4 linked regions of the Saccharomyces cerevisiae S288C genome follow. Changing the gene in region 3 together with the main gene of any one other region gives a genetic interaction. Each region holds a gene or a part of one and is shown on either strand. Other genes may lie near its edges. The genes, in order: IML3, PAC11, KAR3 and NUM1.

What was found.
Region 1: mutations in KAR3 (region 3) and IML3 together harm fitness more than expected from each alone (negative genetic interaction), as found in Saccharomyces cerevisiae (5 studies listed by BioGRID, with this or other methods).
Region 2: mutations in KAR3 (region 3) and PAC11 together harm fitness more than expected from each alone (negative genetic interaction), as found in Saccharomyces cerevisiae (4 studies listed by BioGRID, with this or other methods).
Region 4: mutations in KAR3 (region 3) and NUM1 together harm fitness more than expected from each alone (negative genetic interaction), as found in Saccharomyces cerevisiae (4 studies listed by BioGRID, with this or other methods).

Annotation. Positions count from the first base shown.
Region 1 is NC_001134.8:453,293-457,235, reverse strand, and holds IML3 (Iml3p), read left to right. Parts: upstream 1-2,705; coding exon 2,706-3,443; downstream 3,444-3,943. Other genes in the region: AIM3 (Aim3p), read right to left, coding at 1-2,414. UniProt on the Saccharomyces cerevisiae protein: Component of the kinetochore, a multiprotein complex that assembles on centromeric DNA and attaches chromosomes to spindle microtubules, mediating chromosome segregation and sister chromatid segregation during meiosis and mitosis.
Region 2 is NC_001136.10:1,428,492-1,436,411, forward strand, and holds PAC11 (dynein intermediate chain), read right to left. Parts: upstream 2,299-7,920; coding exon 697-2,298; downstream 1-696. Other genes in the region: 3,4-dihydroxy-2-butanone-4-phosphate synthase RIB3, read right to left, coding at 1-489; DNA replication protein SLD5, read left to right, coding at 2,521-3,405; serine/threonine protein kinase PKH1, read right to left, coding at 3,477-5,777; IZH1 (PAQR-type receptor), read left to right, coding at 6,433-7,383; MZM1 (Mzm1p), read left to right, coding at 7,726-7,920. UniProt on the Saccharomyces cerevisiae protein: Required for viability in the absence of the kinesin-related CIN8 mitotic motor. May be a dynein intermediate chain.
Region 3 is NC_001148.4:815,234-823,976, forward strand, and holds KAR3 (Kar3p), read right to left. Parts: upstream 2,691-8,743; coding exon 501-2,690; downstream 1-500. Other genes in the region: TAZ1 (lysophosphatidylcholine acyltransferase), read left to right, coding at 1-303; rRNA-processing protein RRP15, read left to right, coding at 3,090-3,842; ribosome biosynthesis protein NOC4, read right to left, coding at 4,532-6,190; ASN1 (asparagine synthase (glutamine-hydrolyzing) 1), read left to right, coding at 7,387-8,743. UniProt on the Saccharomyces cerevisiae protein: Minus end-directed microtubule (MT) motor involved in spindle midzone assembly, poleward transport of newly captured kinetochores along the lateral side of MTs, karyogamy (nuclear fusion) during mating, and with an essential function in meiosis I.
Region 4 is NC_001136.10:753,856-762,728, reverse strand, and holds the start of NUM1 (Num1p), read right to left. Parts: upstream 7,102-8,873; coding exon 1-7,101. Other genes in the region: KGD2 (dihydrolipoyl transsuccinylase), read left to right, coding at 7,663-8,873. UniProt on the Saccharomyces cerevisiae protein: Controls nuclear migration. NUM1 specifically controls the interaction of the bud neck cytoskeleton with the pre-divisional G2 nucleus. Functions in dynein-anchoring.

The sequences.
Region 1 (3,943 bases), on a different chromosome or scaffold from region 3:
GTTGCTTCCCTAGTAAGTTCCTTGGGATATTCATTGGCCTTTAAAGAAAAATTTCTAGGTTTTGGCTTTACAACAGGAGGAGGCGCCTTCTTCGTAGACTGTTGCGCTTGAATAGACGAAGTTACAGGAGGTATTGACTTTTCATATTTATTAGCATCTTTTGAACTATCAACTTCGGATGTTATAGTACCCTCATGTAACTTCTCAGATCTGGATGGGGCCGGAGGGGTTGGCGCTCTTTTTCTAATAAAGCTGTTGGGGGCATCACCCAAACGACCGTTTTCTGTAGAATTCTCACTCTTGGGGTTGTATTCATCACCATCATGGTGCTTAGCTATACGCCCACGCCCACGCCCATGATTTGCCTCAGGTCCGTCGATAGTATAAGAACTATCACTAGAATTGGACGATTGTGAACGCCTAAATGGTTTTGGTGGTGGCTGGAAGTTTTGAATAGGCTGTGTCTCCATATGAGCTCTTCTGAATTGAGATTGCGATTGCGGTTTCGATTGAGGTACCAACGATGGTTCAACGTTTCTATCTTCCTCAGAGGGGTGCCCTGGCAAAACTTCACCCTTCATTTCTACAGGTGATGCTTTACTATTCTGATTTTGTTTAGTTTCAGTATGTCTAAATGGCTTCGGTGGAGGTAAAAAATTAGAAATGGGATCCTCCTGTACATTAGCGGCATTCGTTGACAGCACCGACTCTGTCCTCTCAAAATTGCCTCGTGATGGGGGAGGAGGAGGCTCAACATTGTTCCGAGGAGGTAGAATTGGCACTGCCCGTTCTGGTGCGTTCTTCGTGGTGTGCTCAGAAGGTACAGAATCAAGTCCATGTCTGAAAGGTTTTGGAGGTGGCATGATGTTGACATCTACATCATAATGTCCTAAAATGGACGACTTGGAGGTACTTTCATCGTTTTCTTTGTTTCCAGAGTTCCTTTCATTGTCTGCAGTAGTAGTTCTTGAATGCTTTGCTGGCAATGAAGCCGCCGAAGAGGTTGTGTTAGGCTGTATTTTCCCACTTGGCGCAGGTTCCTGGTGTACAACTGCTCCTCTATCCCTATGAGTGGGAGGTGGTGGAAGGCTACTAACGTCTACAGTGGGAATATCGATTTTGGGCTTCGGAGCAGGTGCGTCTGGGTCAAATGGAGTAACTTCAAAATGTGGGGTTGAGCCAGTAGAATCAAGAGAAGGCTCAATCGGATAGATGTTTCCCTGTTGCATTGGTTGCGGTGGCTGTGGCTGCATTCTTACAGGCACAGGCGGTTGTCCACCGACTGGAGGCTGACCTTGCATGGGTGAAGCTCCATAGCTGGGGTTCGAATCTTGCATGTTTGTAGTACTTGACATGGCTTGGCCATAGACAGGCTGAACCGCAGCCATCCCAGAAACTCCTTCCACGTTCATTTGTGGCAACAAAGCGTTGTTTTGGTTCAGAGGCTGCTGTTGCTGTTGCTGTTGCTGTTGCTGTTGCCCAAAGCCATTTGACAGAGGCTCTCCGGGCGCTGGCAAGATCACTTGACCGCGCGGGGGCGGTAATGGTTGCCCTTGTTGTTGCTGTTGTGGTTGTGCAGGTGATGGTAAAACTTGCTGGCCAAACTGTGTCGTGGGCTGCTGCTGTTGGCCCGATGGAAATTGGGATTGTCCGAGATTGGTTGAGCCATGTGATACGTATTGCGGCTGCTGATGACACTGAAGACCGTTCTGGAAAGACGGTGATGGTGCCGGATTACTTGATTGGGTACCATATTGCAGATTTTGCGAGACAAACCCTGTGCTTTGCTGAGAAGCAGAGTTCAGAGATACCTGACTTGGAATTGCATTTTGGGGTTGATTTTGTTGCGGCAGCGACTGGTAGCTGGTTGCATTAGAATTTGACCCATACGGTGGTACTTGCTCTCCATATATAGGCGGCTGCTGTGGCACTACACCTTGTTGCAGCTGCTGTTGCTGTGGCATTACACCTTGTTGCAGCTGCTGTTGTGGATACTGATTATACTGTGGTTGTGCGTATTGTGACTGTTCCGTCGATCCTGCGCCAGGTTGGCCTTGGTATGCACCCTGAAAAGCATAACTGGCCTGACCATTTGGCATTTGCTGTTGCTGTTGTCCTGTATAAGTTTTTTGTCCAGGTTTCAAAGGTGGGGGAGGAAAGGACTTTGGGTCTTTTAAACTTCTTATATCGGTCGGCTTTCTTTCGTACTCCATCTCATCTTCGCTATCATACTCCTCATCACTTGAATTTTTCTTACCACTCTTCCTTTCCCTACGCGCTTTGCTGTTGTTATAGTGCTTCTTACTTGCCTTATACCCTGTCTTGGCAACGTACTTTGTTCCTTGGTAACCATATTTACCGGCGCTCTTCAGCCCTGAAGTGATGGAATCTTTGTTGTTCTCCCAAAATCCCATGCTGGTTGATAACTTGATTTTTTTATGAAAGACCTCTCTCGAACATACGATTATGTAAACTCAAAATGACTTTATCCATATATGTATACACTTAATTTAGATGATGAAATATAAAAAAATAGGGTGGTCCCTGGTTTTCCTGAAGCGCGATTTAGGCAGATCCAGTGGTACTACGGGAAAAAAAAATGCCGACACCGATATGAAATAGACAACAACCATAGTGGGATGATCTGGTCGACTGCATGGTTGATTTGATTGTCTATAGGTATCAACGTACTTCCTTTGGATGGAATGCCTTATACTTGGAAGTTTTTAGGAATCAGCAAGCAACTTTCACTGGAAAATGGTATAGCAAAGTTGAACCAATTGCTAAACCTGGAAGTAGATTTAGACATTCAAACCATTCGAGTACCCAGTGATCCTGATGGTGGTACCGCCGCTGACGAGTATATCCGTTACGAAATGAGGTTGGACATCTCTAATTTAGATGAGGGCACTTACTCTAAGTTCATTTTCTTGGGGAACTCAAAAATGGAGGTGCCGATGTTTTTGTGCTATTGCGGGACAGATAACCGCAATGAAGTGGTATTGCAGTGGCTGAAGGCAGAGTACGGTGTCATTATGTGGCCGATAAAATTTGAACAGAAGACCATGATAAAGTTAGCTGACGCCAGCATTGTGCACGTAACGAAAGAGAACATCGAACAAATTACCTGGTTTAGCTCAAAGTTATATTTTGAACCAGAAACACAAGACAAAAACTTGCGGCAATTCAGTATAGAAATACCGAGAGAAAGCTGTGAGGGTTTGGCTCTTGGCTATGGTAATACTATGCACCCGTATAACGATGCAATTGTACCCTACATTTATAATGAAACGGGGATGGCGGTGGAAAGATTACCGTTGACTTCCGTCATATTGGCAGGGCACACGAAAATAATGAGAGAATCCATTGTCACTTCAACACGAAGTCTCAGGAACAGAGTTCTAGCAGTTGTACTCCAATCGATTCAGTTTACCAGCGAGTAACACTATAAAGAATATTCACCAAGATACAATAAAAAACCACAGCTCTACCTTTTTTGTACATATGAACCTGAAGACCTTCATGAATCATCGTCATTATCAGTAATATCCGGTTCGTCATATCTGCAATGACACCCCACAAAATCCCAGAGACATTACAATTTAGTGTAGAGATCCCGACACAACGGGCCAATGGCTGCTATGAACTAATGTTCACATAGTTTAATTTTGTTGAACTTTCAGTATATATTTGCATAAAATCATATAGACGAGCGCACTTAGCGGAAAGTGCGGCAGTCATACAAGCACGAGGAAAAAGAGGACACGACTCATTTTTCTTTACATGATAAGCCCAACAAAATGAAAACAAATAGAGTTCCTTGTTTTCATTTCATCTAATCAAGAAAAAAAAAGCAATTCTATGGCGATGTAGGAAAATAGACACAATTCGTCTAGCTTTATCTTATTTCATTCTATTTTTCTTATAACACTGCAGCAACTGC
Region 2 (7,920 bases), on a different chromosome or scaffold from region 3:
GGGACTTAGTCCACTTAGTTTACACAAATCGACACCGGCCTCAGTGTGGCCTCTTCTCTGCAAAACACCGCCATCAGCGGCTCTCAAGGGACAGATGTGCCCTGGTTTTAAAAATGATTTTGGCGTAGAGGAAGAGTCTGCAAGAGCCCTACAAGTCATCGACCTGTCGTGAGCAGAAATACCTGTGGTAGTGCCTTGGGCTACATCTACAGTTATTGTGTATGCAGTTCCATGCCTGTCGTCATCATTGGATTCAAACTTCATGCCTGTTCTCAGTAGTGGAAGGTCCAACTTATCAGCAATGGCATTCGTCATAGGTGCACAGACGTAGCCTGAGGAATGGCGTACAAGAAAGGCCATTTGTTCAGTGCTGACATTTTCAGCAGCGCAAATAAGATCACCTTCATTTTCACGACCGGCATCGTCCATAACAATTACAAACTTATTCTGCTTGAAGTGTTCTATAGCTTGATCAATTGGTGTAAACATTTTCGACGTTGCCTTTTCTTCTTTTCCTTTCCTTTTTTTTAGCCTTCTGCTTTTTGTTGGAGATATTTACATTCACCTCACATATATACGCCAATGAAAATTTCACAATAGCACGTATATTAATAATAGCCTTGCTTTTTTTTATCAATTCTCGCTAAGAAATTACTCATCAGGCAATAACCTATGCTCACCCGCCTCGAAGCGGCGTTAGGAGATAACAGTGGCCGTGTAGAGGGACGTCTTAGCATCGAAAGCCCAATTTACAACAACGAGGCGACCATCTGCACACCACACTTGACACCGTAGAGTGCGACTATTTTCCCCTCCATTGTTTTTTTCGAGCCAGCGTGCACGTAGTACGGGCCCCCCTAACAACAATGGCGCCCCTATGATAGCTTTCCCTGCTCGCGCGTCCCACAGCCGCACCGTCCAGTCCGTGGAACATGATAATAGAAGCATTAGCCGCCGAGCATCGTCCCAATGAAACTCTAACCCGGTTACCCTCGTAGAGTGGTTTTCTGCAGGTTGGAACCCATTGTTGTCCAAAGAGAGGTACAGCGGCCCAGGTTGGTCCCAGAAAACCTTGTATATACCACCGTCTTCGCCACCGATCCAGACGTACTGCGGGTCCTCACTCGTGTACGCCATGCAAGCTATACCTACCTCATCAAACTTTGCCAACCGCTGCAATCGCTCCGTATATGTGCAAGTATCATTCTCCAAAGATAAAAGCTGTGATAGCGGTACAGGACGGAGCTGCTGTGGCTTCCGCAAAACAGTCAAGTCCAGGCAGCTCAACTCCATAATATTGCCATTATCAGCTGCCACAAGTACTCTCTCTTGATCTTGCACGCTGCTTGTTTCAATTACAGCCACCACTGGGTGCTGAAAGTAGTGTCTTGCCACCATATTTCGCTGCACGACATACACTACCGGTGTTTCTGGCTTTTTCTGTTTCAATCTAAGCTCGTACAATATGATCTTGCCCGTCAAGGTCGCCAACAAGATTGATATTACATTGCTTTCCGGATGATACCGACGGAGGATCGTGGCTGTCATGATCCGCGTACCACGGAACTCTACCATATCTATCAAGAGGCCGTTGCGTCCGCTGGCATTATCGCACTTGACTACATTCACCACAGACCACGCCGCTTCGCTGCTAGCATACTGTAGGTCTGCCGGCGGCAATCGTAGATAAACCACAACCAAGACGCCTTTTCCTGGGTCATACTCCTGAGCGATACAATCGCAGTCTGTCTCTGATTGTAAATTCTCACTGACCATGTTCCATTGCATGAGGTTGTCTTTATCCTGTTGCATGTTCGATGGCGCCTGCTGGCCTGACGCAGAAACCTCTGTCTCCAGCCGCGCAAAACTAGCGTTGCTCAGCGTTGCCGCCGCCTCTTCAACAAGAAAAGGTTTGGCTAGTTCTAACCTTGGCTGGTCGTTTTCAGCTTTGTCTTTATTATTTTCGTCGGCAGCAGTAGTTTCAATGGCGACAGCATCAGTAGTGGTGTGATTTTCATTTTCTTGCAGTTGTTCTTCCTCAATTTGATCTGTTTGAATGCCTTTGTCGTATGTTATAACCTCCTTACGTCGAAGATATGCAGATTGGGGCTCTTGAATCTTTGAGCCTTCCTCCATGTCGGTCTGCACTGAAACGCTGACCATGGTTGCCTTAGCGTGCACCTCTGTGGGATGGTGGCCCATCGTCTCGCTCCCAGGGAACAAGCTGGCTTGTTTTCGCCTCTCACGCAGCTCTTTCAATTGTCTCCTTTTTTCCTCCAGTTGCTTCAATCGCTCCATCTTAATGTTTCAATCCTTCTTCCTCTTTGGTTGATTAACCAACTGTGATGCTCTTTTTTCCCTTTTCTCTTTGTTTACGGCAAAACACGAAAACTAGTTCATTTCTTTTTCTTTTCGCCTTGGACTAGTACTGAAAATTTCAATAGCATTATATTTGAGCCATAGGTAAGAAAAACCAAATTTGTTAGTATTGGGAAGGAGAATAAGATACCTGACTCGGTGATGGACATTAACATAGACGATATTCTTGCAGAACTGGATAAGGAAACTACTGCTGTCGACTCTACCAAGATCACGCAAGGTTCTTCTTCCACTACCCACAGAGATGCAAATACAATAGTGGGTTCGTCCTTAGACTTGAATGACAAGACTCAGATATATGTCTCTCCCCAGCAGGATTTTTCTGACTTGATGAAGTCTTGGAAAAATGAACGGTGTTCGCCAGAACTCTTACCATATCCTCATCAGTTGATGAAAAGATTATTGAATCGAATATCCATGCAATCTCAATTAATTGAAAACATTTCAATGGGATTCCTCGATATGCAAAATGCTTCTAATGCGAACCCGCCTATGCCTAACGAATCTAAATTGCCTTTACTCTGCATGGAAACTGAGTTAGAAAGATTGAAATTTGTTATTAGAAGCTACATACGATGTAGGCTAAGCAAAATTGACAAATTCTCACTTTATTTGCGCCAATTAAATGAAGATGAAAATTCGCTGATCTCTCTTACAGATTTACTATCCAAAGATGAAATCAAATACCATGACACGCATTCCCTGATCTGGTTGAAACTAGTCAATGATTCTATCCTGAAATACATGCCCGAAGAACTTCAGGCTATTAATGATACAGAAGGTAGCGTAAACATGATAGATGAGCCCGACTGGAACAAATTTGTCTTTATACACGTTAACGGCCCACCAGATGGTAAATGGAACGAAGATCCGCTATTGCAGGAAAACGAGTTCGGTAAACCTTGCTACACGGTCACAATACCCGATTTAAAGGAAGAGGTTGAACTCACTATTGGAAGTATTTACGTTATGAGATATGAAGTCATTAGGGATCTGCTGAGAGACGACAAAGTTGCTCTTATTTGAACTATTATGCATTACACTTTCCCCTTCACCATGTCTTACATATGCATATATATATATTATCAAGCACAGTTTCATTTTTCATCTGTCCGTGTCATGTTTTTCCGCATTTGTGTCGATCTTGCCAGCAATTTTGAGTAATTAGATGACGATCGGGTCTGCAACGAAGTGGGACGTTTTGTGTGAAGTGCGCCTTCTTCGGGTGTCTTTAAGATGCAACGGTCCGGTAAACCATTTATTAGCCTATTCGATTGAGGTACGGGAGGAGCTTGATTCTTTTTTTTTGTATTCTGTCTTTTTTGAAGAATGAACTTATCAAACATTTTATGGTCCGACTTCGGCGATACTACTTTAGGTTTGGCGGTCATTCCATTATGTATTAATTTCCATAGTTTCATTAAAACTGCTCTCTCTTTGCATCCTATGAAAATCGTCCTGGAACCGTCAATTTCAAGGACTTGATCACTTATAAAGCGTATCTTCTCAACGTCATTCAACTCTAGTTCGAATTGCAATTCAAATTCCTGTTCTTCCCACATGCTGAGACTTCTTCTCTTGACAAAAACAAGTGCTCTGCCTAGGTTTGTTATTAGAAACATTTTCTTGTAAAATTTGCCTGCACTATCAGTAGGAGGCTCGATATCAAGAGGGTTCTTGTAGTCCAGAGCCACGTTCTCAAGACCTACAGGTGAGTCCTCTAAGTTTCGTGTGGAAAGCGCTACCTCCTTCATCAACAAGACACGTTCATCCATATTTTGCAAGTAGCGTGACCAGAAGGCGTCAGAAGAGCGACTTCTATTATCTTTCCCCCGTGATGTAGTAGAAATTGAAGGAGATGATACAGATGCGCGATTTTTTGAAACCTTCTTTTGAATTACCTCGCGATCTGTGTTGTTGGAGGCAGATCTAACAGATGTGCTTGACTTGCTCCCCAATTTGGGTTGACTTGTATAATCTTTATTGAATGCGGCGGTTGCTGCAGTCATACTGATCACAGAATGCTCTTGAGAGGTCGCTGCTGGTGCTTGCAGGGGAGTATCTGCATGTCCATTACCAGCCAGCTGAAGGTTGGCCATTTTGACAGTGGTATCAGATTCAGAAACCTTTTGCAGGGGCTTCATCGCCTCTGCATTTATTTTATATGGCTGTATCTCCGGTGGATTATCATCCCAAACAGAACCATCTTCAAAGTTGACTTCATGGAAAAAGAGGTGTGCTTTGATCTGCTTTATGGTCAATCTATCATTTGGATCCCTAACTAATAGTTTTTTAACTAAATCTTTTACTATTTGCGGAAAACCTGCAGTAAACGCATATTGAATCTTCATTACTTTTTGGAATGTCAAATATTCATTGGCAGCTTTAAAAGGCGGTTTTCCCGCAAGCATTTGGTACAATATGCAACCAAATGCCCAAATGTCACAACGGGAATCTGTATAATTATCATTCAGTAGCTCAGGAGAAACATATTCTGCGGTACCAACAAATGATTTCGACTTAGCATACAAATCGAAATAAGGCTTGCCATCTGCGGTGTTCGAAGGTTCCTCCGGTAAAATTTTGGCTGTACCAAAATCCGTCAACTTCACTTTCATATTTTTGTCGAGCAATATGTTTTCGGGCTTGATATCCCTGTGAATAATGCCGATATTATGCAAGGAGTCAACGGCATCGATGATCTGCGACGCATAATAGCGTGCACATGTCTCGTTTAAAGATCCATATTTCTTAATCAAGCCCAAGAAATCACCGTGGGGGGCATATTCTAGAAGGAAATACAAGCTTGCCTCGTCCTGGAAAGTGAAGAAAAGCTTGAATATGCCCTTGGTGCCATTCAGCTTCTGCAAAGCCAATTTCTCCACTGTGACGTATTTAACTTTTTTTTGACGGATCAGATATTCTTTACTCAACACTTTTACTGCATATTTCTTGCCCGAATCACGGGCGGTAGCCAGAACAACACTAGAATATGATCCATCCCCGAGTTGCTCTCCAAACTTGAAGTCCTTTATTCCCATCTTGACAACATGCTTAGTTAACTCCCCCGTAGCTGGGTCGACAACATCTTTGACGATTTTTGCCGCACCACGTTCTGCCCATTCTTCTCTTCTACGCCTCATTGAGGGATCAAGACCCATCTCGTGCTGCATACCCGGGTCATCATTTGCCAGGGGAATGAAGCGATTAGTACTAGTCAATGCCTTTTCTCCAAACTGACCTTGTGGAGAAGCCTGTAGTTCAGACCCGCTCTGAGAATTGCTGCCATCTACGAAAGGACGAGGATACTCTTGCGTTTGTGTATGTTCCGCAGATGTCGGTACCAAGGGCTTGGACAGCAGGGCGTGGTCTGCCTCTGTCAAAGACCTATTTCCCATATTAATGATATAGTAGCAGTATTCAAGCAAGTACACGTGCGCAAGTTGTACCAGATAGTGACTGTCCAGCGTTACTTTCTCGCCTGCTCTGTATTACTCTTGTTGTCACTCCGCAATATCTCAAAGCCATTAATATGTACTAACTTGAATTTTTCATGCTCCCTTAAACGAAAATAACCCTACTGAGATTTTCACCTTTATAGGGTTATATGCTAAAATAAGTAGGTCTTATCATGCAACCTTTAGGGTCCAAGCCCTTAAATCCGACAGTCGGGCAAGCCCATTTTCCCAACGATTTTTCAACGGTTTTTTTGCCTGCAGGGCATCGGCAATTTGACAATACTCACGACCGATGGATGCAGCAATCAACGTAAAAACCTTACTTAGCCGGTTACTCATGTATATGTCAGACATATATACACACGCACACATATATATATACGTACATGTTGGCACCCTTCTGTTAATAGAATTTGATTTCTTTTCTAAAGGCATATCAGTATCATCAGTTGAAACAGTAAGGAGCTCCGCAAGCGCAATATTAACTTTACAAAAGTGATTCTGGTTCCTAACTTTTCTATTGTTTTCCATTTTCGTCATTCGTTTTGTTATTAGTCGCCTTAATTGAGTCAAGCAAGATAAAAGAAGAAAAAAAATGAGTATCACCACTACTAGAAGAAGAAACCAAGATAGTGTCTGCTGCAAGGCAACGAGAGCCTCCATTAAGGTGGAAGCTGTCTCAGGCCAGACAGTTTTTGAAAAGCAAAAACTGCTACACAATTTCGATGAGTTGCCAGAATGGCAAAAAGATAATGACAAAATTCTCACCGGGTACGTTCGTGAAACACTGTCATGGAAAAAGTGCTTATATTCTTTATTTTATTGGAACAACGAGACTGTGAACATTTATACACATTTGGTACCGGCTATCGTATACTTCGTGTTTGCCATTACGTTGACCAACTACTTTCTAATTCCCGTTTTCCCCTCCACTTCCTGGTCCGATTACACCGTTATAAACATTTTCTTGATGGGCGCTTTCTCATGTCTCATGTGCAGTAGCTGTTTCCACTGCATGAAGCAACACTCTGAAAAGCAAAGCAATTTCTGGAGCAAGCTCGACTACTTGGGGATTATCAGTTTGATTTCCTGTTCTATGATCCCTATAATATACTTTGGTTACTTCGACCACATATCCTACTTCAGTCTTTTCACGATTGTTACTTTAGTCCTGGCAACATTTTGTACAGTCTGTGTCCTCCACGACAAGTTTAACACTTCCACATTTCGTCCATTTAGGGCCATGTTTTTCATATTGTTTGGATTTAGTGGCTTACTCCCATTGACCACAGGGTTTTTCAAGTTCGGTATCCAAGGGGTTCTTAACAGAATAAAAGTCAGCTTTGTGTTTTGGGAAGCTCTCTTTTACATTTCAGGGGCTGTAATCTACGGGTTTAGGATTCCTGAAACTTTGGCTCCAGGGAAGTTCGATTTCTTCGGTAGCTCTCATCAAATATTTCATATTATGGTGGTTCTTGGTTCTGTATGCCACTTGAAAGCCATTATCGATTCTTACAAATTAATGCATTCTCATATCCACCCTTGATGGGCCTACAACTACTACAAAATCAAATAAATAACATTATATATCTAAGGTTAGAAAATAATTAAATGCAAAAAAAGTCTTTATTCCTTTTTAGATATTCGTCACATCATGCTTTTATCATAGATCGCATTTTGACAGGTACTTCGCTATATTAGCCTAATTAATTTTGGTCTTACTAAAGTGAGTAATGCCGAAAAATTAAACGTTTGAATAAGTGAACCTACTACAAAGGAAAGAGAGGAAGAGAAAAGGATAGGACTAAAAGACTTCCTTATATTTTTCGGTACGCTTGCGTTTCACTGAAGAGAATAAAAAGAACAAATTATATAAATTTAACACACTATGAGCACGAGAACAAAGGCCCTGAATGCATACAGGCATGGCTTAAGAGCAACCCGAATAGCTTTCCGGAATGATGCTGAAGTATTACTAGCCGCGAGAGCTAAAATGCGTTCAGGAATGTTATGTCCCCCAGATCCTAAACTCACCACAGAGGATCAGATTCAACATTTAGAGGATGTGGCTGTTTTTTTGAGA
Region 3 (8,743 bases):
AAATACTATGATCCCAAAAATCCTAACGACCTCTCTGACGAATTGAAATATGGTAAAGAGGCGCAAGATTTAAGAAGCAGATTAGCCGCTGAACTGAGAGCCCATGTTGCTGAAATTAGAAATGAAGTTCGCAAATTACCACGCGAAGACCCTAGGTTCAAATCCCCCTCATGGTGGAAGCGGTTCAACACCACGGAAGGTAAATCGGACCCAGATGTTAAAGTCATTGGCGAAAATTGGGCAATAAGGAGGATGCAAAAGTTTCTGCCTCCAGAGGGTAAACCAAAGGGTAAGGATGATTGAAATTTAAGCAATTAAATTCGTGTAAATACTAGCATGTATGAGGTCATTTTTACATAACAAATATTCATTACTTACTTTGCTTTTTATCTGTGCGCATTAAAATGAGTTTCATATATAATATAGTTACATGTGATGAATGTATGGACAGTCTCTGTCATTTGTCAAAGGAGTGAAAAAGACCAGAAAAGGCCTTGACCTCATTTTCTACTAACCAATCTGGTAGAATTCACTTTAGACGCAAATCTTAACGAATTGAGAGTCTCATTAATATGAGAGGAGCTTGGTGAAATGTTTACAAACATTAATGTTTTCGAATCCCCAGTGAGTGAATATTGCAGTAGGTATGTCAGTTTTGAGTTCCTGAACGGTATATGTCTTTTGGTACTATCAGGCTGACCTAAAGCATGAATAACGTCACCTAAGCAACTTAAAGATTTATTTATATTTTGTGTTTCTCTTAATCTATCCCCTACAACTTGAGAGACATTTATTCTTTCGGAACCGGCCAAATCAACAAGATTTAGTGTGCCATACGAGTGTGCTCCAGTTTTTGCATTTGATCCAGACAAATGAATTATGAAAATACTGTGTGAACGGGAGGAATGCTCATTTGATGCTGTGCTAGCGGTGGATCTTAATTTATTTGCTTTTTTCAGGATTATTTCCACCATTTCTTCCGACTCAAGCTTGCAACTCGTAACATTCGTTATCGTGGTAGTCTTAGTTTCCTGATCATGACGTATTTCGTGCTTTAAGCCAATGCTTGTGTCTTCTTTATTATTATTATCACTTCTCAATAAGTCTACGATGTTCTCGTTGTAGATCTCAATGAATTCGCAGTTAACTTTATAATCCCATCCTTTTGTCTTTAATTTATTGATCCAGTTAAATATATGAGATATTGTGGACGGAATGATACCATCACCTGGATTTAACATCGTGAAAGTTTTCCCAGATCCTGTTTGTCCGTATGCGAAGATACAAACATTATATCCATCTAATGAACTTTGCACTAACTGACCAACTTCTTTAAAAACATCCACATTTGTATCCTGTTGATCAAATATTTTATCAAATTTGAATTCATGCACTTGCGCTGTGTTTTGTATTTTCGTCACTTCCATAGATTGAACACCACTATTGTCATCAAATTCATTAACATTAATAAGGCTAGTATCAGAATTTTCCAAATTTTTTAGAGCTGGACGAATCCTACAATAAACTCGTATATTTCCTCTTAACTCTTGTAACTCATTATGCAATGTGCGTCTAACCGTTTCCTCTTTAATCAGAATTTCATTCAACTCCTTCATACCCAGTTCAGTGTCTTTTATATATTCCTCAAGTTCTTTGATCTTTTCCAAAGTTTCTAAATTAGTTTTCTGTTTTAATGCCACCTCATCTCTCAGCCTTGTAGTTTCCTCTTCCTTTTCTTTAACTTTTACTTTGATAGCTTCATACGCGTTACGCTTTTCTGTTAAGAGCTTCTTTTTTTCTGCCAACTCAGGTTTTAATGTATTTTCGATTTCCTTTTTTATGCTTTCGATTTCTTGCATATGTTTATTATTCAGCTCTATATCCTTTTTCCACTGCGATTGGTACTCTGTAAGCCATTCTTCTTTTTCAAGCATATGCTTTTGTTCAACATCGTTCAACATTTCCTGTAAAGTGGAAGGGTTCATGGTGATTTTATTTCTTACCTCTTCTATTTTATCTAAAAGCGACGCTCTTTCATTTTCAAACTGTTTAATCTTCATAAATTTCAATTTCTCAATTTTTGTTTTGTATTCATTTTCCATTTGTTTCAGCTCTTTTTTATTAGATGCCGCTAGCTGCTTTAAATGTATTTCATGTCCTTCATTCATGAACTGCTTCTTTGACAAAAATTCTTCTTTAATCGAGATAAGTTCATTGTTTTTCAAATTCAGTTGCTGTTCAATTTTTATCTTTTCTTCACGAAGGGTTTCAAATTTGAGATTAACGGCATTGATTTTCTCTTTCGTTTCTGTTAGTTCATCTTTGAGTAAATCTAGTGTTGCCTTTTTCTCAAATAAGATTGCTTGTGTTCTATTGAGTTCATTAACATTTTCTTTATAAAAGGAAGTTACACCGGAGTTGCTTTTCTGGTTTCCATAAATCAAATTTGCTGTACCTTTATAATTCTTTAAAAGCTCGCGATTAGGTGACATGGATATGCGACTCTGACTAGCTAATGAGTGTCTATGAATATCCGTACGTTGCGGCTTCAGAAGAGTGTGCTTAGGCGGTGGAGTTGTTGTATTTCTTCTTTTGTGGCCATTCATAGCTAAAATATCATTCTTCGGCGATGGTGTCGAGAGATGCTGCGTAGATCTGCCTTTTGTGGGAGTACGTGGAAGTGATTCCATAGTTTAATAGTTGCCAGAATTTCTCTAAGTCCTTTATTTCAAAATCTACCTTTTTTAAACAAAGACTCCGGATAGTTGTTCTGGTATATTCAAATAGAATAATAAGAAACACAAAGAGCGGAAAAATTGATAGCTTTAATGCTTATATAATATTCGATAATTTTTTTAGCTGTAATACTCATCATCATATTTTGATTCGAGGCGCATCAAATTGTAAACAGTGTTTGTTTTGATTTTGTTTGAGATTCATTTTGGTGTATCTCCATTACCCTCTTATTGGAAAATTTTGAAAGAAAAAAATCTAGGATTCGATGCCCATAAGATATAAGGAAAGGTAATAAACAGATGCTATGAATAAAGCGATAGAGAAGCCGAAGGAAAATCAGTACATAATTGATCATGGGCTCCAAGCACAGAGTAGACACTAAGGATAAGAAAAGAACCAGAAAGAATGCAGAATTTGGGCGTGAAAAAAGGAATAGTGGCAACCAAGAGTTAAGTAATGAGCCGGAAAAAGATACAATAATGGAAGGTGATGAAGCCGAAGAAGACGAGCAGAATAGCTCTAGCGATGAATCATCTAAAATTATAGATAACGAACAAAGTGATGCTGAAGAAGATGATGATGAAGAAGAAGAGGACGACGACTTCCCAAGAAAGAAAAAATCGAAAAACAGCAAACATGATGATGGTTCTACTGGATTTTCTGCTGCAGTAAATGCTATTTTATCATCACATCTGAAAGCATACGACAGGAAGGACCCCATCATGGCTAGAAACAAAAAGGTGCTGAAGCAAAGTGAGTCAGAAAAGCTAGAATACAAGGCCAAAAAAGCATTGTTGGCAGAAAAAAAAAAGTTATTAGGTAAAGCCAGAAAGACGGATATTATTCCAATTGCTTCCGGAGAAGACAGGTCAGAAAATATTAGAAAAGTCCTTGAGAAGGAGACAGCGCTCAGAAAGATAGCTCAAAAAGGTGCCGTGAAATTATTTAACGCCATTTTAGCAACTCAAGTCAAGACAGAAAAGGAAGTATCCGAAAATTTAAGCGAAATTAAGAATAAAGAAGAAAAGAAAGAATTGATCACTGAAGTTTCCAAAGAAAAATTTTTGGATTTAGTTAAAGCTGCCGCAGGAAGCGACAATGAATAATCAACATGTTCATGTCAAAAGAAGAAAAAAAATAAAGAAATAAAAACTGTATATTATTTAGTCTATGTCAAGCGAGAAAGGGGCCCTATATCTTCCCTCCTCCTTGCAATTGAATTTTGTTTGCATTCTATATTATCATATAGTTTCATATCAATTGCAAAAACTTTTGCAGCCAATGTTACAAAATTGTTTTCAATCAAAGAAATACAGGTGTGGTGTCCTTCACCATCGATATATTAATATTAATATATCATGAATAAATATAAAAATTCAAGGTAATGTACTTGTGCACTTCTTTTAGAATATAGCAATTTCCCTTAGCTCTTTTTCAAATTGTAATTCTCTACAATACATAAAAAGAAATTGATCTTTGGTTCAACTTTATATATCGCAATAAGCAATTCTCAACATTATGAAAGTTTATCTAAATTAAACAATCTTCAACAATAGAATGGTCTCTTGGCCCAGTTGGTTAAGGCACCGTGCTAATAACGCGGGGATCAGCGGTTCGATCCCGCTAGAGACCATTTATTTTTGACCCAGGTTTTTTTCCTAGGCAAAATTGATAACAGGGACTTACTATTTTCTATTTTTTTTTTTTTTTACATCTCAAACAAGGGAAATCGATGACTCTGTTGATATAAATGTATATATACACACTTTTAAAACTTCGTTGTTCATCTTCGCTTTCACCATGCTACCCCAGGCAAGTAGACGTTACCTTGGGATGACGCTTCGCTATCGCCGTCTTCATTATCAAAAACGTTTGTGAAAGCCTCAAATTCTAACGTAGGAAGTGTCTTCAACTTTCTTGAAGATTCTGCATTGAGCAAAGAATCATAGTTCCAGTCTAAGAAATCTTCCATGTTATAACTTAGCTTCTTAAATGGTTGAGCAAATATCTTCGCCAACGTGGCTACATTAGGATGATAATGTTCCATCAATGACGCCAGCTCCCACAGAGAGGAATCCAGTGCATGAGTTAACTCAGGGTCCGATTCATGAACATCGAAGGGATCTACATAGTTTTCTTTCAGAGTTTTCAAGTTCGCCACTTGGTCAGGTGTCTGGAATGGGTTGGAAATGAAGGCTGGGTTGTGCAGCATAATCATACAATTCGGATGTTTCCTGATTAAATTATAGATGAAGGGAATCACGGTGACAATAGCAGAGGGTGGTGATTCTAGGGTGAGTCTGGCTAGCTTTTTGATGAAAGATGCTACTAAATGGGCGGATAAATGTGTTGATGACAAAAATACGTCCATTAACCTGAAAAATCTTGCTCTGTATTTAACATGCATTAAGTCTGGATTTATAATTTGATAAAGTTTCATATAAAAATTTGGATATTCCAAGTTGAATCTTTTCATCAATTCAAAAAGGCCATTCAGAGCCAAGATCGGAACAACACCGGCGTTTTTATTAGAGCTTTGCAAATTGTAGGAATCAGTAAGGAAATCCATTAGTTTAGTTGGAGTGTGGAAATGAGGTATTATTCTCTTATGCAAAATTAACAGAATAGACTTATACTGCTGTAAAGACAATTGGCCGTTTAAAAGGGATAACCAATTTTTCTCGAAATTGGACTTGAATTTGGACTCGTTCTCTATGGCTTGTGGGGGATTTGGTACAAAGATCTCTAAATCTGCATCAACACTAGAGCAATGTTTGTCATGATTTACTAAAGCTAACCATTTACCAACGTTTTTCAAAAGCAAGTCCTGGTAGGCTGGATCCTCTAATAGTTGGTTAAATTCTGATTGAAAGTAGTATTGAATATCTGCAAATTTCGTATAATATTTTTCCGTGAATTCTACTATGATTAAATTTTCAGACGCACCCGAGCTTTTGACATCCTCTATTTCACCCATGTTCGAGGACCATAGGGCGATGATTAACTTTCTGAATGTTTTATTGGGGAAAAATGGTGCGCCCTTTTCAGATGCAAAATGAGTTGATTCCAGCTCTGCAAGTTGAAGATAGACATCAAGCGAATCTAACCCAAGTGATGTTTCGAAAGGTATGTCCGAAATGATAGCTAACAGCTTCGTCTTGAACGCTTCATACACCTTTCTACACCAATTAACAAACTGTTCCTTCTCTAATGTGCTCTTTTTGGACGAAGGAAGGGTCAAGTCGCCGCGGGAAAACAGCTTTCTAAATATCTGGAATAGCGACATAACCAGAAATCTCAAATTTTTTTCTGTCTCATCTTCTTCCAATTGAGTAACATTTTCTGGAATCACTAGTTCATTGATTAACTTGATAATGGAGTTGTACTGCTTTCTGTCACCCGCAGCAGTCAGCCTCTTGGCAATATCTTTAATTTCTGATATAAGCAATACCATATTCTTTGACGTTTCTTTTTAATAGATCTCTCTTCATGGCAATAGAGGATGATAATTACATCTCATCTCATCTCATCAAAACCGTAATACACTTTTTTTTTTCTCAGTTGGAAAATTTTAGTGAAAAATTTCAAGAATAGCCCTAAACCTTCAAATACGAGGATTACCCGTAGAGAAGTGCTGAAAAACTTTTTTCTTTTTCTTTTTTTTCGATTTTCATTTAACAGGTATAAAAAGCGAAACACTCGGTACATATATTTTACCAAGACGCGTTAGATTTTCTTTGGAGGTTTCATTTAAAGAAACCAATGACCTTCCAAGTTTTTAAAAGAATACGATGATATTATTTGCGTTTCAAATCGAACAATTCTTCTCGGAGCGATCTGAGGTTTTAATGGAGATAGCGGTTCCTGCGCAACCCATTGATCTTGTTACATTCTTAAGAATGACAAGGACGCTTTTATAAAATTCTGATTCTTTTTTCTTTCATTCTTTTGTTGTTTTTGACTTGGGAGTAGTCATCTCATCTGTACACAAGTAGCTTTTTATATGTTCTTAAATTGTAGACTAGTCAAAACTTGTGTCCTTTAAACCGTGCCGAAACAGTTTTAAAGCGGACATCCAGGGAAACTTGCCGTTAACAATAAGTGACCTTGCATGGAAGACTGTCGATTGGTCTCTGTGGAAACCAGTGCATATCTAAATTAAATCTATTGTCATCACGAATGCCGCCCGTGTTCGTGCAACGTGAGCGCAAATACGCCTGGGGTCTGTCTTTCTGCGCTGGAAAGCACCTTCGGGCATCAACTACCGTTTCTTATCGCTGGCACTATCTATCCACCAATCACACGGCAGCAGTACTGCTGCCGTGGACGGCAAATTAGGTACAGGGCCTATGACTGTTATCATTTGGCAGGCTCAGACAGAGAGAGAGAGCACAAGGAAAAGAGCCTTAACTCATGTAACATTTGACTCATTCTGTAAACTGAAAATTTGCTGCCCACTCGAGATGACAAATAGTTCGTTCTTGAATTTATGCGCATTTATAGATACGCATATATAACCCTATAGTGAACGCCACTAGGAGACAGATTCTGTTTGGACCCTGATCGCATACTCTTCTTACCTTTACATAATAAAATAAGAAAAAGTATAACTTGCTTTACGCTAAGGATATAAATCGGACGTAACTTAAGATGTGTGGTATTTTCGCCGCTTTCAGGCACGAAGACGTGCATAGATATAAGCCAAAGGCTCTACAACTATCAAAAAGAATCAGACACCGTGGTCCAGATTGGTCCGGTAATGCTATCAAGAACTCCACTATATTTGTTCATGAAAGACTAGCCATTGTCGGTGTGGAATCCGGTGCTCAACCAATTACTTCTTCAGACGGAGAGTACATGCTATGTGTTAACGGTGAAATCTACAACCACATTCAATTAAGAGAAGAATGCGCAGACTACGAGTTTGGAACACTGAGTGACTGTGAGCCTATCATCCCAATGTACTTAAAGCACGATATCGACGCTCCTAAGTACTTGGATGGTATGTTTGCTTGGACTCTTTACGACGCTAAACAAGATCGTATTGTGGCAGCCAGAGACCCAATCGGTATTACGACATTATATATGGGACGCTCTTCCGCTTCTCCAAAGACCGTTTATTTTGCATCCGAACTAAAATGTTTGACTGACGACTGTGACACTATCACTGCATTCCCACCGGGCCACGTATACGATTCTAAGACTGACAAGATCACCCGTTACTTCACACCAGATTGGCTGGACGAAAAACGCATTCCTTCCACCCCAATAGATTACATGGCAATTAGACACTCCTTAGAAAAAGCCGTTAGAAAGAGATTAATGGCCGAAGTCCCATACGGTGTTCTATTGTCGGGTGGTTTGGACTCCTCTTTAATCGCTTCCATTGCTGCCCGTGAAACTGCAAAGGCCACTAACGATGTCGAACCATCAACTTACGATAGTAAGGCAAGACATCTAGCAGGTATCGACGATGACGGTAAGCTACACACTGCTGGTTGGACAAGTCTCCATTCCTTTGCCATCGGTTTACCAAATGCTCCAGATTTGCAAGCCGCAAGAAAGGTTGCCAAATTCATCGGCTCTATTCATCATGAACACACCTTTACATTACAAGAAGGTTTGGATGCTTTGGACGACGTGATCTACCATTTGGAAACTTACGACGTTACCACTATCAGAGCTTCCACTCCAATGTTCTTACTATCCAGAAAGATTAAGGCCCAAGGGGTCAAGATGGTTCTTTCCGGTGAAGGTTCCGATGAAATCTTCGGTGGTTATCTATATTTCGCACAAGCTCCTTCTGCGGCAGAATTTCACACTGAATCCGTGCAACGTGTCAAGAACTTGCATTTGGCAGATTGTTTGAGAGCTAACAAGTCTACGATGGCTTGGGGTCTAGAAGCTCGTGTTCCATTCTTAGACAGAGAATTTTTGCAATTGTGTATGAACATCGATCCAAATGAAAAGATGATTAAACCAAAGGAAGGACGTATTGAAAAGTACA
Region 4 (8,873 bases), on a different chromosome or scaffold from region 3:
TACATCATTTTTGATTTCTTGGCTTTCATCTACAAAGCTATCAGATATATCGTCACCATAAACCGCCTCATTTTGACTCATTATATTATCATCTCTTGATAACAGTGTTTTCTCCCTACTAGTCAAAATCAAATTACGATCGCCAGCGGGTTTCTTGAGTTGCCTTACTGTGAATGTTGGATCATCCGGCCCATATTCGACTTCTTCGTTGTCCATATCATTGTGGGGAACGGTGTTTTGGAAGGCACCTTCTTGCGCTGTGTTTGTGGTTTTTGCTGCTAAGTTTTGATTTTCTGACAAGGGATTATTCATTTCTTCCATGCCACCATTCAGATTAACCGCGTTATCTTTTAGTATATGATATTCTTCAAATTCCTGATCAGAAATGAGGGTCATACCATATTTTTCTGCTTTTCTAGATAAGTGATCAAGATCTATGCTACTGGCAACGCTAGTGTCATCGTTGTCCTTCGAAAATAATGGAGCTTCAATGTTTTTCAGATTGATATTTGATTTTTCGAACGGAACTAATTTGTAGCCTAATTTTTCAGCAGAATTCTTGATGTTTTCATAGGCGGGAATGAAAATGGTAGCATCTTTCACTGTGGATGATTTCGAGATTATGTCAGTATAATCTTCATTATTCTGCAATTCGACACGATTAAGCTCTTCGATATTATCATCTAGTGCATCTGTAAACATGCTCGATGTTGTGGTCGAGTTACTGCTGGTCGTATTTATTGATTGTTCATCAATGCGCTCTGCACGCTCAGCTCCAGAAAGTTTGTTGGGTTTTTGGAGGCATAATTCCATACCGAATTGGTGGGCATATACTTTCAAATCTTCATAAGTAATGGGAGGGCAGGGACTTGTAGTGTTTACCAGTTGTTGGTATTCTATGTTTTCTACTATGATGCTATCAAAAATGGCGGCCTTTTCTTTCAAAACATCTAGGCTAGGACGATCTATTTGATCCCGCAGTTCAGAATATTCCTTTTCTGAAATGATAATTAGCCCTTGCTCCTTGGCTTTCATTGTCAAAAATTCAGAATCTGGTTCAGATAATAGTTTCTCGTTTCTTTTATGCGTAGATTCATTAACTAGTATTTTCCCCATTGATAGCGCCTTAGTGGATAAGAAATCGATAGTTGGTTTCTCAATCGAGCGTGACATGGTCGCAAAATCATCCTTGTCTACCAAGACTTTATTTAATAAAGATGCCTTTTCGGAGAGGTGGATCACTGTCGGATGTTCTGATACTGCTAAAATGTTTTTATAGTCATCTTCTTTTATTAAAATATGATTATTCAAAACGGCTTTCTCTTTTAAGTAGCTCAAGCTGGGATTTCTATAATTTGTAACCATTAAATTGTACTCAGACAGAGGCACTACAATGTGGTCGATTTTCTCTGAAGAAATTTTCAAATAATCCAGTTGTGGCTTTTCGTATTTAGCAACCATCAATTCATAATCTTGTCTAGAGATTGCGACGTAATCCATTTTGTTCAAAGAATCCTTTAGATAATCAAAGTTTGGATTCTCATACTTTCCAATTAAATCTTGGTAGATAGTATTAGGAATTGCAATGTAGTTTAGTTTGCTCAAGGTGTTAATTAAGTCTTCAACATTTCGATTTTCCAAAGGTTCTCTTAGAGTTGAGTACTCGTTTTGGTCGAGCAAAACCAAGTTCAAGTGATGACAGGATTCCTCTAGCTCCATCCGAGTGGGATGATTGCATTTTCTTATAGTTTCATCATACTCGATTTGGTCAACAAGTATTTTGTTCATTCCAGCAGCCTTTTCGATTAAAAATGTTAAAGAGGGATATTCTATTTTCTTTTGCAATGCTTCCTTCTCCTCGTTCCTCAACAACACCATTTCATTGCGGGCAGCCTTTTCTTGCATGTAGTCAATATCTGGTGAATCAATCATTTGTTTCATGCGATCCAGCTCAACCTCGCTAACTAATTCATATCCCAGTGCTGATGCTTTTTCTAAAATAAATTCGTAGCCTGGATTTTCAATGGCTTCTTGCTTTTCTTCGTAATCATGTTTACTAATTATGAGCATTTGATATTTTTCACATTTTTCCTTCAGGAAATCAATAGATGGATCACCGAGAATATTTAAGATTTTAGTGTGTTCCTTTCTCATATTATCATATTCTTCAGTAGACAATGGTACTAAACTGAATTTCGAACATAGGTTCAAGACATCATTTTTGGAGGCATTGTCAACAATTGGTTTCTCTAGGTTTGGCAGGTTTTCTTTACGAATTGCGACGTAGCCTAAGGCCTTTAACTCATTTTCAATATCAGATAAAGTTCTTTTTTGTAGTGATGACTTCTCTGCAGAAGCAAGCTGTGGGGCAGGCATTGTAACGAAATCAAGTGCCTTGGTTGAAGGAATAAGTGATTTCTTGTTGCTTGCATTATCTTTCATTGCTTGGTACTCCGTTTTGTCCACTAGCACAAGATCAAGTAATGCGGCATTTTCTTCTATAAATTTCTTGGAGGGATTCTCCAGAGAATTTTTTAGTCTTTCATATTCTTTAGAGTCCAAAGCGTAACACCCAATTTGTTTGCAGAAGTTATCAATCTCTTCTTTAGAAGGTGTAGTGGCTATCCTATTCAAGTCAAGGTATTCATTAGGTTCTATTAATCTATAACCTTTGCTTTTGGCTTTCTCTTCAATAAACTTCAACGTAGGAGAATTGAAATTGCTGACTAGCTCATTGTACGTTGTTGTATCAATTATATGGTAACCTTTCAACTTGGATCTTAGTAACTCAACGTCCGGCTTTTCCATCGTATTTTTCAATGCAATGTACTCATCGTTCGAAACAATCTGGTATTCTAACTTTTGCAATTTTGAAGCCATATCTTCCATAGATGGATTAGCTAAGGTGTTGAAGTCCGAGATCGATATAATTTTTGATTGTATTTGTTCGGCATGTTTGACTAAGTATTCCAGTGATGGTTGTTCTAGTTTCTTTTCCAATTCAGAATATTCCTTGTTGGATACCACAGTATGGCCCAGTTTAGCAGACTTCTCCTTCAAGAATTCCATATCAGGATTCTCCTTGCACTTGACTAGGTCTTCGTATGCACTATCCGATAGCAGATGGTGATTGGTGGCCTTGGCATGTTCAACTAGGTATTCCAGTGATGGTTGTTCTAGTTTCTTTTCCAATTCAGAATATGCCTCGTTGGATACCACAGTGTGGCCTAGTTTGGCAGACTTCTCCTTCAAGAATTCCATATCAGGATTCTCCTTGCACTTGACTAGGTCTTCGTATGCACTATCCGATAGCAGATGGTGATCGGTAGCCTTGGCATGTTCGACTAGGTATGCTAGTGATGGTTGTTCTAGTTTCTTTTCCAATTCAGAATATGCTTCGTTGGATACCACAGTATGGCCTAGTTTAGCAGACTTCTCCTTCAAGAATTCTACATCAGGATTTTCCTTGCACTTGACTAGGTCTTCGTATGCACTATCCGATAGCAGATGGTGATCGGTAGCCTTGGCATGTTCGACTAGGTATGCTAGTGATGGTTGTTCTAGTTTCTTTTCCAATTCAGAATATGCTTCGTTGGATACCACAGTATGGCCTAGTTTAGCAGACTTCTCCTTCAAGAATTCTACATCAGGATTTTCCTTGCACTTGACTAGTTCTTCGTATGCACTATCCGATAGCAGATGGTGATTGGTGGCCTTGGCATGTTCAACTAGGTATTCCAGTGATGGTTGTTCTAGTTTCTTTTCCAATTCAGAATATGCTTCGTTGGATACCACAGTATGGCCTAGTTTAGCAGACTTCTCCTTCAAGAATTCTACATCAGGATTTTCCTTGCACTTGACTAGTTCTTCGTATGCACTATCCGATAGCAGATGGTGATTGGTGGCCTTGGCATGTTCAACTAGGTATTCCAGTGATGGTTGTTCTAGTTTCTTTTCCAATTCAGAATATGCCTCGTTGGATACCACAGTGTGGCCTAGTTTGGCAGACTTCTCCTTCAAGAATTCCATATCAGGATTCTCCTTGCACTTGACTAGGTCTTCGTATGCACTATCCGATAGTAAATGGTGATTGGTGGCCTTGGCATGTTCAACTAGGTATTCCAGTGATGGTTGTTCTAGTTTCTTTTCCAATTCAGAATATGCCTCGTTGGATACCACAGTGTGGCCTAGTTTGGCAGACTTCTCCTTCAAGAATTCCATATCAGGATTCTCCTTGCACTTGACTAGGTCTTCGTATGCACTATCCGATAGCAGATGGTGATCGGTAGCCTTGGCATGTTCGACTAGGTATGCTAGTGATGGTTGTTCTAGTTTCTTTTCCAATTCAGAATATGCTTCGTTGGATACCACAGTATGGCCTAGTTTAGCAGACTTCTCCTTCAAGAATTCTACATCAGAATTTTCCTTGCACTTGACTAGGTCTTCGTATGCACTATCCGATAGCAGATGGTGATCGGTAGCCTTGGCATGTTCGACTAGGTATGCTAGTGATGGTTGTTCTAGTTTCTTTTCCAATTCAGAATATGCCTCGTTGGATACCACAGTGTGGCCTAGTTTGGCAGACTTCTCCTTCAAGAATTCCATATCAGGATTCTCCTTGCACTTGACTAGTTCTTCGTATGCACTATCCGATAGTAAATGGTGATCGGTAGCCTTGGCGTGTTCGACTAGGTATGCTAGTGATGGTTGTTCTACTTCCTTCTCCAATTCTGAGTATTTGCGTTGCAATTCAGAATATTCCTCGCTAGATACCACAGTATGGCCTAGTTTAGCAGACTTCTCCTTCAAGAATTCCACATCAGGATTCTCCTTGCACTTGACTAGGTCTTCGTATGCACTATCCGATAGTAAATGGTGATCGGTAGCCTTGGCGTGTTCAACTAAGTATGCTAGAGATGGTTGTTCTACTTCCTTCTCCAATTCTGAGTATTTGCGTTGCAATTCAGAATATGCCTCGTTGGATACCACAGTATGGCCTAGTTTGGCAGACTTCTCCTTCAAGAATTCCATATCAGGATTCTCCTTGCACTTGACTAGGTCTTCGTATGCACTATCCGATAGTAAATGGTGATTGGTCGCCTTGGCATGTTCAACTAGGTATTCCAGTGATGGTTGTTCTAGTTTCTTTTCCAATTCAGAATATGCCTCGTTGGATACCACAGTGTGGCCTAGTTTGGCAGACTTCTCCTTCAAGAATTCCATATCAGGATTCTCCTTGCACTTGACTAGGTCTTCGTATGCACTATCCGATAGTAAATGGTGATTGGTGGCCTTGGCATGTTCAACTAGGTATTCCAGTGATGGGCTCACGTAGTCTTCTTTTTTGAGTAATAAATAATCTGATGCAGAAGCTTTTTCTCTTAGAAAGTCTATCGTTGGGTTCTTTAAACCTTCTAAGGCTTTAGTATCAATCAGCACTTGGTCGTATTCTTTTGCCTTATCTGACAGGTATTGTTTCGAAGGTGTTTCTATCTTATTAACCATTGAAAAATACAGATCATTACTTAGCCATTTACAGCCGTTTCTCTCCTCCAGCCATTTACAAATATTCGATTGTAAGTCGTTCTTTGCTTCCAGGCATTTTTTCATTTGTTCAATTGATGGATTCTTGACACTCTCAAAAAGGTCATTATAATCTTTGGTAGGTATTATCAGGCAATCAATTTTGGATGTTAAAGGCAGTAAAAAATCAATAGTAGGCTCTTTTAACAAGTTAAACGTACTTTGATCGATGGGTATCTTTTTCAAAGCCTGAAGTTTTTCCTTGAGATAGTTATATGATGGATTTGATAGGGATTCGTTTAGGTTCTCAAACTCCTCTAGAGGAAGAACTTTATAGCCAGAAGCTTCTAAATATTTAATATGAGATTCTAACGAAAACTCTTTTTTGCTGTAATTGTCATCATTTGGTAACGCGATCATATTCAGGTTTTCAGCCACCTCTTTGGTCATTAATTCATCGTCTTTTGGTTTGGATGCACTTTCACTTTTTTGTAGTAAGTTTTTATATGAATCATTCGATAACAATATCATATTGTTTTTTTCTGAGTATTTCTTGACAAGATCTTCAGAAATGTCCTCGACAGAGGGGCCTGTTTCAATCATGTGGTCAATTTCGATCACTATATCAAAAATGTCTTCTTCACTAGTGGTCCCCTCAGAATCAGGATCAGATGTTACTGTAGTATCGGAAGTATGCTGTTTTTGATAATACTTCTTTTGTACTTTTCTTTTTAACGAAGAAATAGATGCTTTGGCGTCATCAAGTTGCTTTTGAATTTTTATTCTTTCAGTTCTATTGCTCTGTAAGGAATTAATTTCACTTGTTAGATCAGAAACACTAATAAGTAATCTGTCGTTTTCATTATTTAAGTCTAAAATCCTTTCCTTTAATTCACTAATCTCTTTATCGTAATGAAGTTTTTGAGAGCTAAGATCATTTTCCATGCCATTTTTTGTTAATGTTAAAATTTCCAAATCTGTTTTCAGAAGTTTCAGGCTTTCTTTTTCATCATTCCAAGATTTTTCAGTCTTTTTCTTCAATTCTTTTAATTGCCTACATTCCATGCTCAAGTTTGTTAATTTAGATTCTAAATCCCAGTTTAAATCTTTAGTTGAATCCAACTCTTTCATGAAGGACTTTTTTTGGTTAGTGAGCTCCTCAATCTTGTCACTTAATGACTCTTTAATTTGCTTGAGAGACTTGATTTGCTCATTTTTAGCTTCATTAGAGGATTGCAATTTCCTACACTCAACCAACAAATTCTCGCTTAGTTCCAAAGTAAAGTTCATATCCTTTGATGAATTCGCCGTGAGTACTCCATTGTGGGAACTACTGCCTGCAAATTCCGGAAGCACGTCTTTTGTCTCTCTTTTACTCAAAATACTTGAAATCGAAAACCGCTTTGTTTTATCTCCTTCATCACCACTGCCGCATTCATCAGCCTTTAAGTTAGCCATCCTTGTTACGCCGTTCGTTGAGACGCTTTCCTGGCTTAATGAATTGTCAATGCTATTTGCATACTGCCCTGCTGAGCTGTCTTTATCGTTATTCTTTTTATGCCTGTTGTTGTGGGACATATTCGAACGTCTCGTGGAAAGCCTTGACCGTTGCGTCTTTACTCGTCTCTATTCAACCCTGTGGTCCTATTAGAACCGATCTTTGTTCCATCGTCATTACTACTTCTTGTCTCTTCTCTCTTGGGGAATAATAAACAAAACAATTCCAGCCACCCGCATCTCCGTCAAAGACGATATTAACAACCCTTTTTTTGCAGCCAATCAAAACTAAGGTCCTGCCCGGAGTGAGCCAATAAAGCGGCCACAAATTACGCAGGAATCTATGGTTCCTAAAGCTTATTCTTATTCTACATTAGCACCATTCTACTACAGGGCTCGGATCCACACTTGGTCTATCAGCAAATGCAAATCCTTTTTCCCTCAACTAGGCCTACTTTTCATATATAATCTCTTTTTGAGCTTCAGGGGAGGAAATATCTAACGTAAAAAAAAGAAAAATCCGAAATAAAAAATTAGGCAGCTATCTTTAACGGTATATATCAGTGAATAGATATATTGTTATAAACTTCACTACCACATTTGTTACAACCAAAGACACAACTTCAGATAATTATTTAAACAATGCTTTCCAGAGCGACGCGTACTGCAGCTGCCAAATCCTTAGTAAAATCTAAAGTGGCTAGAAATGTTATGGCTGCTTCTTTCGTCAAGAGACATGCTTCTACAAGTTTGTTCAAACAAGCTAACAAGGTCGAATCCTTAGGTTCAATATATTTATCCGGCAAGAAAATTTCAGTTGCGGCGAATCCGTTCTCCATAACTAGCAATCGTTTTAAATCTACCTCTATTGAAGTTCCTCCGATGGCAGAGTCCCTGACTGAAGGCTCTTTAAAGGAATATACTAAAAACGTTGGTGATTTTATTAAGGAGGACGAGCTGTTGGCCACTATTGAGACCGATAAAATTGATATTGAGGTCAATTCGCCAGTATCAGGTACTGTTACGAAGCTAAATTTCAAACCAGAGGACACTGTCACTGTTGGTGAGGAGTTAGCTCAGGTCGAGCCTGGTGAAGCACCTGCTGAGGGTTCTGGAGAATCTAAGCCAGAGCCTACCGAACAAGCGGAGCCATCGCAAGGTGTCGCCGCAAGGGAAAACTCAAGTGAGGAAACGGCTTCAAAGAAAGAAGCTGCTCCAAAGAAAGAAGCCGCTCCAAAGAAAGAAGTTACAGAACCAAAAAAGGCTGATCAACCAAAGAAGACCGTCTCTAAGGCGCAGGAACCCCCAGTAGCCTCTAACTCTTTCACACCATTTCCACGTACAGAAACCAGGGTCAAAATGAACCGTATGAGATTGAGGATTGCCGAAAGATTAAAAGAGTCTCAAAACACTGCTGCTTCCTTAACCACATTCAACGAAGTTGACATGTCAGCTTTGATGGAAATGAGGAAACTGTATAAAGATGAGATTATTAAGAAGACCGGTACTAAATTCGGATTCATGGGTCTTTTCTCCAAAGCATGTACCTTGGCCGCCAAGGATATTCCAGCCGTCAATGGTGCCATTGAAGGTGACCAGATTGTTTATCGTGATTACACAGATATTTCTGTTGCTGTGGCCACTCCAAAGGGTTTGGTTACCCCCGTCGTTCGTAATGCAGAGTCATTGAGTGTTTTAGATATTGAGAACGAAATTGTTCGCTTGAGTCATAAAGCGCGTGATGGCAAATTAACCCTAGAAGATATGACGGGTGGTACTTTCACCATATCTAATGGTGGTGTTTTTGGTTCATTATACGGTACTCCTATCATCAATTCACCACAAACAGCCGT